Coturnix japonica: one gene and its partner. The protein of the gene in region 2 purifies or fractionates together with the protein of the main gene of each other region. This does not show direct contact. Links are inferred from orthologs where the notes say so. Each region holds a gene or a part of one and is shown on either strand. Other genes may lie near its edges.

Evidence for each region. The genes of interacting proteins can lie anywhere in the genome.
Region 1: the proteins of HSPD1 (region 2) and SIRT3 purify together in Homo sapiens (affinity purification with mass spectrometry; 3 studies listed by BioGRID and IntAct, counting the BioPlex papers as one, with this or other methods). This does not show direct contact. The link is inferred for Coturnix japonica from reciprocal best matches to the Homo sapiens genes HSPD1 and SIRT3.

Annotation. Positions count from the first base shown.
Region 1 is NC_029520.1:1,387,374-1,391,608, forward strand, and holds the start of SIRT3 (NAD-dependent protein deacetylase sirtuin-3, mitochondrial), read left to right. Parts: upstream 1-1,390; 5' UTR 1,391-1,439; coding exon 1,440-1,494; intron 1,495-1,889; exon of another isoform or gene 1,890-2,008; coding exon 2,009-2,084; intron 2,085-2,826; coding exon 2,827-3,027; intron 3,028-3,185; coding exon 3,186-3,418; intron 3,419-3,556; coding exon 3,557-3,657; intron 3,658-3,782; coding exon 3,783-3,944; exon of another isoform or gene 3,945-4,046; intron 4,047-4,235. Other genes in the region: PSMD13 (26S proteasome non-ATPase regulatory subunit 13), read right to left, coding at 182-237, 316-350, 827-905, 1,192-1,286.
Region 2 is NC_029522.1:11,004-14,261, forward strand, and holds part of HSPD1 (60 kDa heat shock protein, mitochondrial), read left to right. Parts: intron 1-59; coding exon 60-312; intron 313-482; coding exon 483-565; intron 566-1,205; coding exon 1,206-1,301; intron 1,302-1,567; coding exon 1,568-1,661; intron 1,662-2,092; coding exon 2,093-2,261; intron 2,262-2,593; coding exon 2,594-2,693; intron 2,694-3,258. UniProt on the Homo sapiens protein: Chaperonin implicated in mitochondrial protein import and macromolecular assembly. Together with Hsp10, facilitates the correct folding of imported proteins.

The sequences.
Region 1 (4,235 bases), on a different chromosome or scaffold from region 2:
GAGCAACGGTACTGCTGCTCTAACACAGCACTAATTACTCAAACACTTAGCATTGGTGCTTTCCTTCTTTCATACACAAGCAAGACAATAGCTCAGCATTGAAGACTTAGCTGTTACTACTACCTAGTTTCATGGGCATCACTCCTTAAAGACAGTGTAAGCAAAGGGTAAGGTCACTTACCTGTCATCTGCCTGACTACATGAAGAATGATCTCTACCAGGGACAGGGGATTCACCCTAGAATGAAGAACTTGCTGTCAGAGCGGTACTTGTCAGCAATAGGTTGTCTACAAACTTCCAGGCAAATAAACTCACCTGTGTTCAAACTCGCTGATGAAGTTCTCATAAAGCTGTGGGTACAGAGATATCAACAGTTAGGGAAAACAGATGTTTTGTTTGATTCACAAACCTTATGAGCTAATAGATACTGAAACACAATGCCTCTCTGCAGCCCTGCCCAGTGTTTGCTTTCCATTAGCAATGTACAAATGGCATAGGCCTGAACTCAAGACATTCTCCAAGTCCCTCATACACATCCCACAACTAAAAACTAGTGGCTCTTCATTAGGGAAGCCCTTACCTCAGGGGATACTGAGCTTTAAAACAGACACAAAGGGAAAGTGGGGAATGAAGGAGGATATGGTAAGCCCCTATCTTCATGAAGACCTTGACAGAGCATATATGAACTACCATCTCTGCTTTGTAACTATATATACTGCATTCAGCCCATCCTGTACTTCCAACAATAAGCCATCTTGTTACAAAAGGGAAAGAAAAAACACACTACACCTCCCGTCTGTTGCTCAGAGACGGCAGAGCACCTCACCTTGATGAGTCCATCTCCTTGTGCAAAGCACGGGTCCTGCACAAAGTCCAACACTTGCAGTGTCAGCTGGTGCCAGAGCCTTCAAAACACAGAACCACAGGACTATGAAGATTAGAACAGACACCTGAGGTCAGGTCCAGCTCCAACCCACCCTCATCACTCCCAATGGCCACATCCCATCCCCACGGTTCTCCAACACCCCCATGTGCAGTGACTGCAGCAGCTCCTCACGCGGTGCACACATTCACCTCCATTCTTCCTTTACCACAGCGCAGGCCGAGTCCCCCTCTCTCCACACAGCCCCAGTCCCTCCTGCAGCCCATCACCCCGGGTTGGACCCCGACGTAGCCCCCCCCATGTCTCACTTCTTATTGTAGAGCTCCTCCAGGCGGTGCCACACCGCGGCCTGCCCCGGCCCCGCGCTCTGGCTCTGCTGCAGGAAGCCCGGCACGTCCTTCATGGCGGCGGCGACCGCAGCAGGCAGCAACGCCGAGCACCGGGCCGCCCCCGCCGGATATGCACACTCACTTCCGGCGTGCCGCGGGGTACGATGGGTACCGGAAGGCCTAGCGTTGCCCGGCCCCTCCCCCCCCACACACTCCCCCTCGTAATTATGGCAACGGGACCTTGGGGCGGGGGGATCGGTGCTGTGCGGCGGGTGGTGGCGGGTGAGGAGCTGAGGGGGGGCAGTGGGCCTTGATGGGGGGAGTGGGCCATGATGGGTGCTGGAGGAAGCCTGAGGGGAAGGAACGGGGCCTGAGGGGATGGAACGAGGCCTGAGGGAAAGGAACGAGGCCTGAGGAGAAGGAACGGGGCCTGAGGGGAAGGAACGAGGCCTGAGGGGAAGGAACGAGGCCTGAGGAGAAGGAACGGGGCCTGTGGGGAAGGAACGGGGCCTNGGAACGAGGCCTGAGGAGAAGGAACGGGGCCTGTGGGGAAGGAACGGGGCCTGAGGGGATGGAACGAGGCCTGAGGGGATGGAACGAGGCCTGAGGGGATGGAACGAGGCCTGAGGGGATGGAACGAGGCCTGAGGGGATGGAACGGGGCCTGAGGGGATGGGGAGGAACGGGGGTAAGGAAGCAGGCCCCAGGGGGAGCCTGAGGTAGGGAAGTAGACCCTTAGAGGAAGCTGAGGGGAGAACAGATCCCTCGCTGTTTGCTGACTCTGTGTTTTCTTGCAGCATGGAGGAGCCTGTGGGAGCGTGGTGGCCTGGCTCGGTTCTACCCGCAGTGCAGGACTGGCTGTGGGCTATGCAGGTAGGGCTGGATGGTTTCATGCAGAGCTGGTGTGGAGAGCGGCACCTCTCCTGTCTGAAGTCCTGTGTGTCTTTGAGCCTGAGCTGGGAGCTGAGAAACAAAGGACAGAGAAATGTTAACGTTTGCCAGCTTGTGAAATGAGCTCTGTGGGAATCTGACCTGGCACAGCCCAAACCACGTCCTTGTGGTACCAGTGTCAGCCACGCTGAGCACGTTAGGACACAGTAATTGCTGTTTGCAGATTGCCAGGATCCAGCAGCTCTTGGCTCTTCACATTCTCACACCTTCCCTGGACTGCTTTCAATATCCTGCTGCTGCAAGCACTCATTGTCTGGGGAGAAAGTGTTCCTTGGGATGATAATGGGTGTTCTCAGCCCCATCTGTATGCACTGCTGACCTGCAGTTCCTTTGCTTTCCAGCTGCACACAGAGCTCTCCCAAGGCAGAGTCCCTGGGGTGAGATAGAGAACTGGTGAAATGTCTGTCCTAATCCAAGCAGTGCTGCTCCAGAGTGACCACAGCACCCTGTTAGAAGTTTCCTGAGACCCAGGGCATAGACAGGGCATTTCCCTTTCTTATAGGGAAATTTGGTGTGTTTTAACATTGATTTGGTATTATTAAGATCTAAAATCAGTTCAGTGTTCTGGAGTAGACTTAATGCTTGAACTTTCTCCTAGTTGAGCTTTCTCTCAGCTGAAGTCTCTTTCCCCACACAACCGACTGTGCTTTCCCTCTGTTCTAAGCAGGGTACAAGGGACCAAGCCCTTCTCTCTGTCTGCTGCCACCAGTGCTGTTCTAGGACTGGGCAGCTGGGGAGGTGACAGTGGGAAGCAGAAGCTCACCCTGCAGGATGTGGCGGAGCTCATTCAGAAGAAAGAGTGTCGTCGAGTAGTGGTGATGGCTGGTGCTGGGATTAGCACCCCCAGCGGCATCCCAGACTTCAGGTACTGCCTTCATTGTTTTATTTATCTTTGATTAGTGTTGGGACTATCAGGTTCTTCAGCCTAAGCCAAGAACGTGGCTCTCTGCTCTTTTGTGTCCTGGCTTGGTGGGTCGCTTTCCCCCTGTGTTCTGACTGCCCACCTTCCTTTTCTCTCTGCAGGTCCCCGGGGAGCGGCCTCTATAGTAACCTTGAGCAGTACAACATCCCTTATCCCGAAGCCATCTTTGAACTGGCCTATTTCTTCGTCAACCCCAAGCCATTTTTCACTTTGGCCAAGGAGCTCTACCCTGGCAATTATAGACCCAACTACGCCCACTATTTCCTGAGACTCTTGCATGACAAAGGGCTCCTTCTACGTCTCTATACTCAGAATATTGATGGGCTGGAGCGAGGTGAGTTTTCTCCAGCTCTCAGAAAAAGCTGATAATGAGAAGCAGAACAGGAGGACTGGGAATATGCCTGTTGAAGATGGAGTTTCTGGTTCAGTCGCCTCATGCTGAGCTGATCCTCTCCCACCTGCTGTGTTCCAGCTGCTGGGATCCCTCCTGATAGACTGGTGGAAGCCCACGGCACCTTTGCTACTGCCACGTGCACAGTCTGTCGGAGGAAGTTCCCAGGAGAGGACTTCAGGGTGAGTGAATGCAGCTGGACATTGACATGAAGTGATGTTACTGTGAGGGTCCAACATGGTTGTGACCTTGTTTGTGTATATATGTGCTGCCCCATATCAACTGGCATTGGGTGCTTTTACTTCAGGGAGACGTTATGGCAGACAAGGTCCCTCACTGCCGTGTCTGCACTGGAATTGTCAAGCCTGACATTGTGTTCTTTGGCGAGGAGCTTCCGCAGCGCTTCTTCCTGCACTTGACAGACTTCCCCATGGCAGACCTGCTCTTTGTCATCGGAACGTCCCTGGAGGTCTGGGACTAGGGGGATGTCCTTGTTCACAAGTTAAAAAGGGCCTGAGGGGCTCTGGAGGAGAGAGAGGGGTTACGGAAGGCAAGAAACTGGGTTATCAAGGTAAAATTGGAGGCGGCAGGAAATAGGGTGTATGCACACAGAGGCTGCATGAAAACTTTGTGTGCTCCTGGTGAAGGTGGTGCAGCAACTTGAGCAAAACATCCATGACCAGTTCAAAGCTGGGGTAGCTTAGCCTAGCCCATGGTGGGAGAACTTGTTAAGCACGAACCCAGCAGTTTGGAGTCCCTG
Region 2 (3,258 bases):
GGTTATCTGTGTTATCTGTTATCTGCCTTTCATTTAATGTTTCTTGTTTGTCACCCTAGGGAAGAACAGTCATTATTGAGCAAAGCTGGGGGAGTCCCAAAGTGACAAAGGATGGCGTGACAGTGGCAAAGGCAATCGACTTAAAGGACAAATACAAAAATATCGGAGCCAAATTAGTTCAAGATGTTGCCAATAATACAAATGAAGAGGCGGGAGATGGTACTACTACTGCAACGGTACTTGCACGGGCTATTGCCAAAGAAGGCTTTGAGAAGATCAGCAAAGGAGCTAATCCAGTGGAAATCAGGAGGGGTAATTCTTTCACCTATGTTTTCAATATTTAATTGCTAGCTTTTTCCCTTTGCACATGCTAAATCTGTCTGGTTTCCTCAATGAGTTGCCTTTTGTTGTAGAATCAAATGGGTTTTTTCTGTGCTATATGCCTTGTGTTGTTCACTGACAAGTATTCCACTCGTCTCTAGGGGTGATGCTCGCAGTTGATGCCATCACAGCTGAACTGAAGAAGCTGTCTAAACCAGTTACAACTCCAGAAGAAATTGCACAGGTAAAAACAAACGAACAAAAAAACAACAAACACATAATTTGACTTCAGAAAGTTTTCTGAACTCAGGTTTGGATACAGAACAGCTGAGTATTTGTCTTTATGTGTTGGGGTTTGGAATGTATCGCATAGAATGATGTCCATGGTAACCCATAGAATGAGTTGTTTGAGATGCCCAGTGTTCTGTCTTCAGGTAAATGTTGGTTCAGAACTAGGCAGTTTGTTTTAATCAGGATTGTTTTCACAAAGTAACTGTAAAACATTAATGTGATTATTTGGAAGCAAAAATGGCTATTGGTGGGTTTGGTGATGGCAGACTTGCGGGAGCATTTGTAACACATCAGCTGTGGGAGGTTCAGGTTGAGCCTGATGCTCTGCTGTTTGTCCTGCTGTGGGCGTGTTGGGCTTTGAGGCTCATTTCCTCTTGTGGCTGCAGATTCAGATGTGTGTGCTGCATGAACCCAGCGTGTGGGGTATAGCCCAGAGCTCAGGCTGCCGCGAAGCCACAAGCCATTGTATCCATTGTATTGTTCTGGTGTGGATGTGCTACTGTTCGTTGTTCTGTGCTGTGGTTTCATTCGTTTATAGTAAGGAAACAAATGATGAGTACTGTGAAATGAGTTGAAGCATTTTGCTTTTTCAGGTTGCCACGATATCAGCGAATGGAGATCAGGAAATCGGCAATATAATTTCTGATGCCATGAAAAAGGTTGGAAGGAAAGGTGTAATCACTGTTAAGGTGAGAGCTGTCAGCATATGGACCAAGAGCAATTTATCCGCATTTCCAAGTTAAGGTTGGCATTTGTGGCATGTGATGGAGCTGCTCACATACAGTAGTACCCTCCACAACTCTTCTGTTCCCATCTCTTTTAGATTAGGGTTGCATCAGTCTTAATTAAAATTGTTTTCCTTTGAGATAGAGCACATGAAGCAGATGTGGTGCAGTTTTTGTGCTGTGGTAATGTTGTGACCAGATCTCTGATAAGACTTTCTGTATCTAAACAGGATGGAAAAACTCTGAATGATGAATTAGAAATCATTGAAGGTATGAAGTTTGATCGAGGCTACATATCTCCGTATTTTATTAACACAGCCAAAGGTGAGTTAACAGAACTGTGTGTCAGGTACCTTAATGGCTCCACTGATGTTAAAATGGTGTGTCTTAAAACAGGCTGTTATGCTGCTTAGCATGACAATAGGATGTTGGGGTCCTTCCCCTGTCAGAAACATGGCAAAAGCTTGAAAGCTGTTTATACTTTTTATACTTCTCTGCTAAGTGTGAACAGTGTCTGTGCCACCATTCAGCCGGCCCCGCAGCATTGCAGATAACAGAACTGGAAGTCTTAGAGGACAGCACTGGGGGTTTTGTGGGGTTTTTGGATGTGTGGTTGTCATTATTTGTAGGGGTCTTTTGTTTGTTGTGAAGTTAAAAGATACAACAGTAGTTCTCAGGCTGCACAGTAAGCTTTAGGGAAGGCTGGATATGCTTTCATAACGAGATTGCTCAGACAATGCATATTGCTTCTGCAGGGCAGAAATGTGAATTCCAGGATGCTTACGTTTTAATCAGTGAAAAGAAGATTTCCAGTGTACAGTCCATAGTTCCGGCTCTTGAAATTGCCAACAGTCACCGCAAACCTTTGGTCATTATTGCTGAAGATGTTGATGGAGAAGCCCTCAGCACTCTGGTCTTGAACAGGTAAGGTTTAAAATTCATACTTTGACAGCTTTGGAACAGCAAATACTGCTCTTTTTTTCCCTCCTGCATTTTCATACTTCTGAAGGAATACATAGGAAAGCATGTATTTGAATTTTCCCAGTACTAAGAAGCAACAACTCTTACACACTGCCATGGCTGATATTGCTTGGGCTGAATTTCAATGGTTTCTTCAGCTACTTGTTTGATCAACAGCAGCTCAGTGTATAAAGATCTTGTTTGCTTGACTGTTAGATTTGTTCCAAAATAGTTCATAGCAATGAGGTTTGTTCTGTGAACACATTGGCAGTACTGCTCTCAATTATGTTCTTCAGGCTCAAGGTTGGTCTCCAAGTTGTTGCTGTAAAAGCACCAGGTTTTGGTGACAACAGGAAAAACCAGCTCAAGGATATGGCAATTGCTACAGGTGGTGCTGTAAGTAATGACTTTTTAATTGGCTTCTTCCTTTAAGAAACACCAGTGTTATTTAGGGAGATTAATAGTTTAGTTTTAGGTCCCTGGTTTCAATTTGCTGTGTTGCAAGCTGTTTCTTGTTCTTCCAAAAGGGTAACAGTAACCAATGCTTGAACAAGTACAAGAGCAAATATGGTGGCACTTGCTGTGTCATACAGCTCTGGCCAGCTTGGAGTAACAGGTGGCTATAAGCGGCAGGGTTTCCTTGCAGGATTTGGGTTCTTATAGGAGAAATGTCCAAAATAGTTCTGGAGGAAAAAGCCAAATATACTTGCTTTCTTATGACTTGAATTAGGATGAATGTAATTGTTCTGAAGGTTAAGAATAGACTGGATAATTTAGTTACTTCTACCTTACAGCTGTGTTTAGTTTTACTACCTCAGTTCTAGTGTTGTTGATGTGCTTGTTACTCTCCGTTAATACATGCTTTTAATACGTGCTTCAGAATCATAGCATGATACTGGGATTCAAAGCTGGTTATTGAAATATATGTTGAAACCTAATGAAAGATGAAGTACCAGAACCA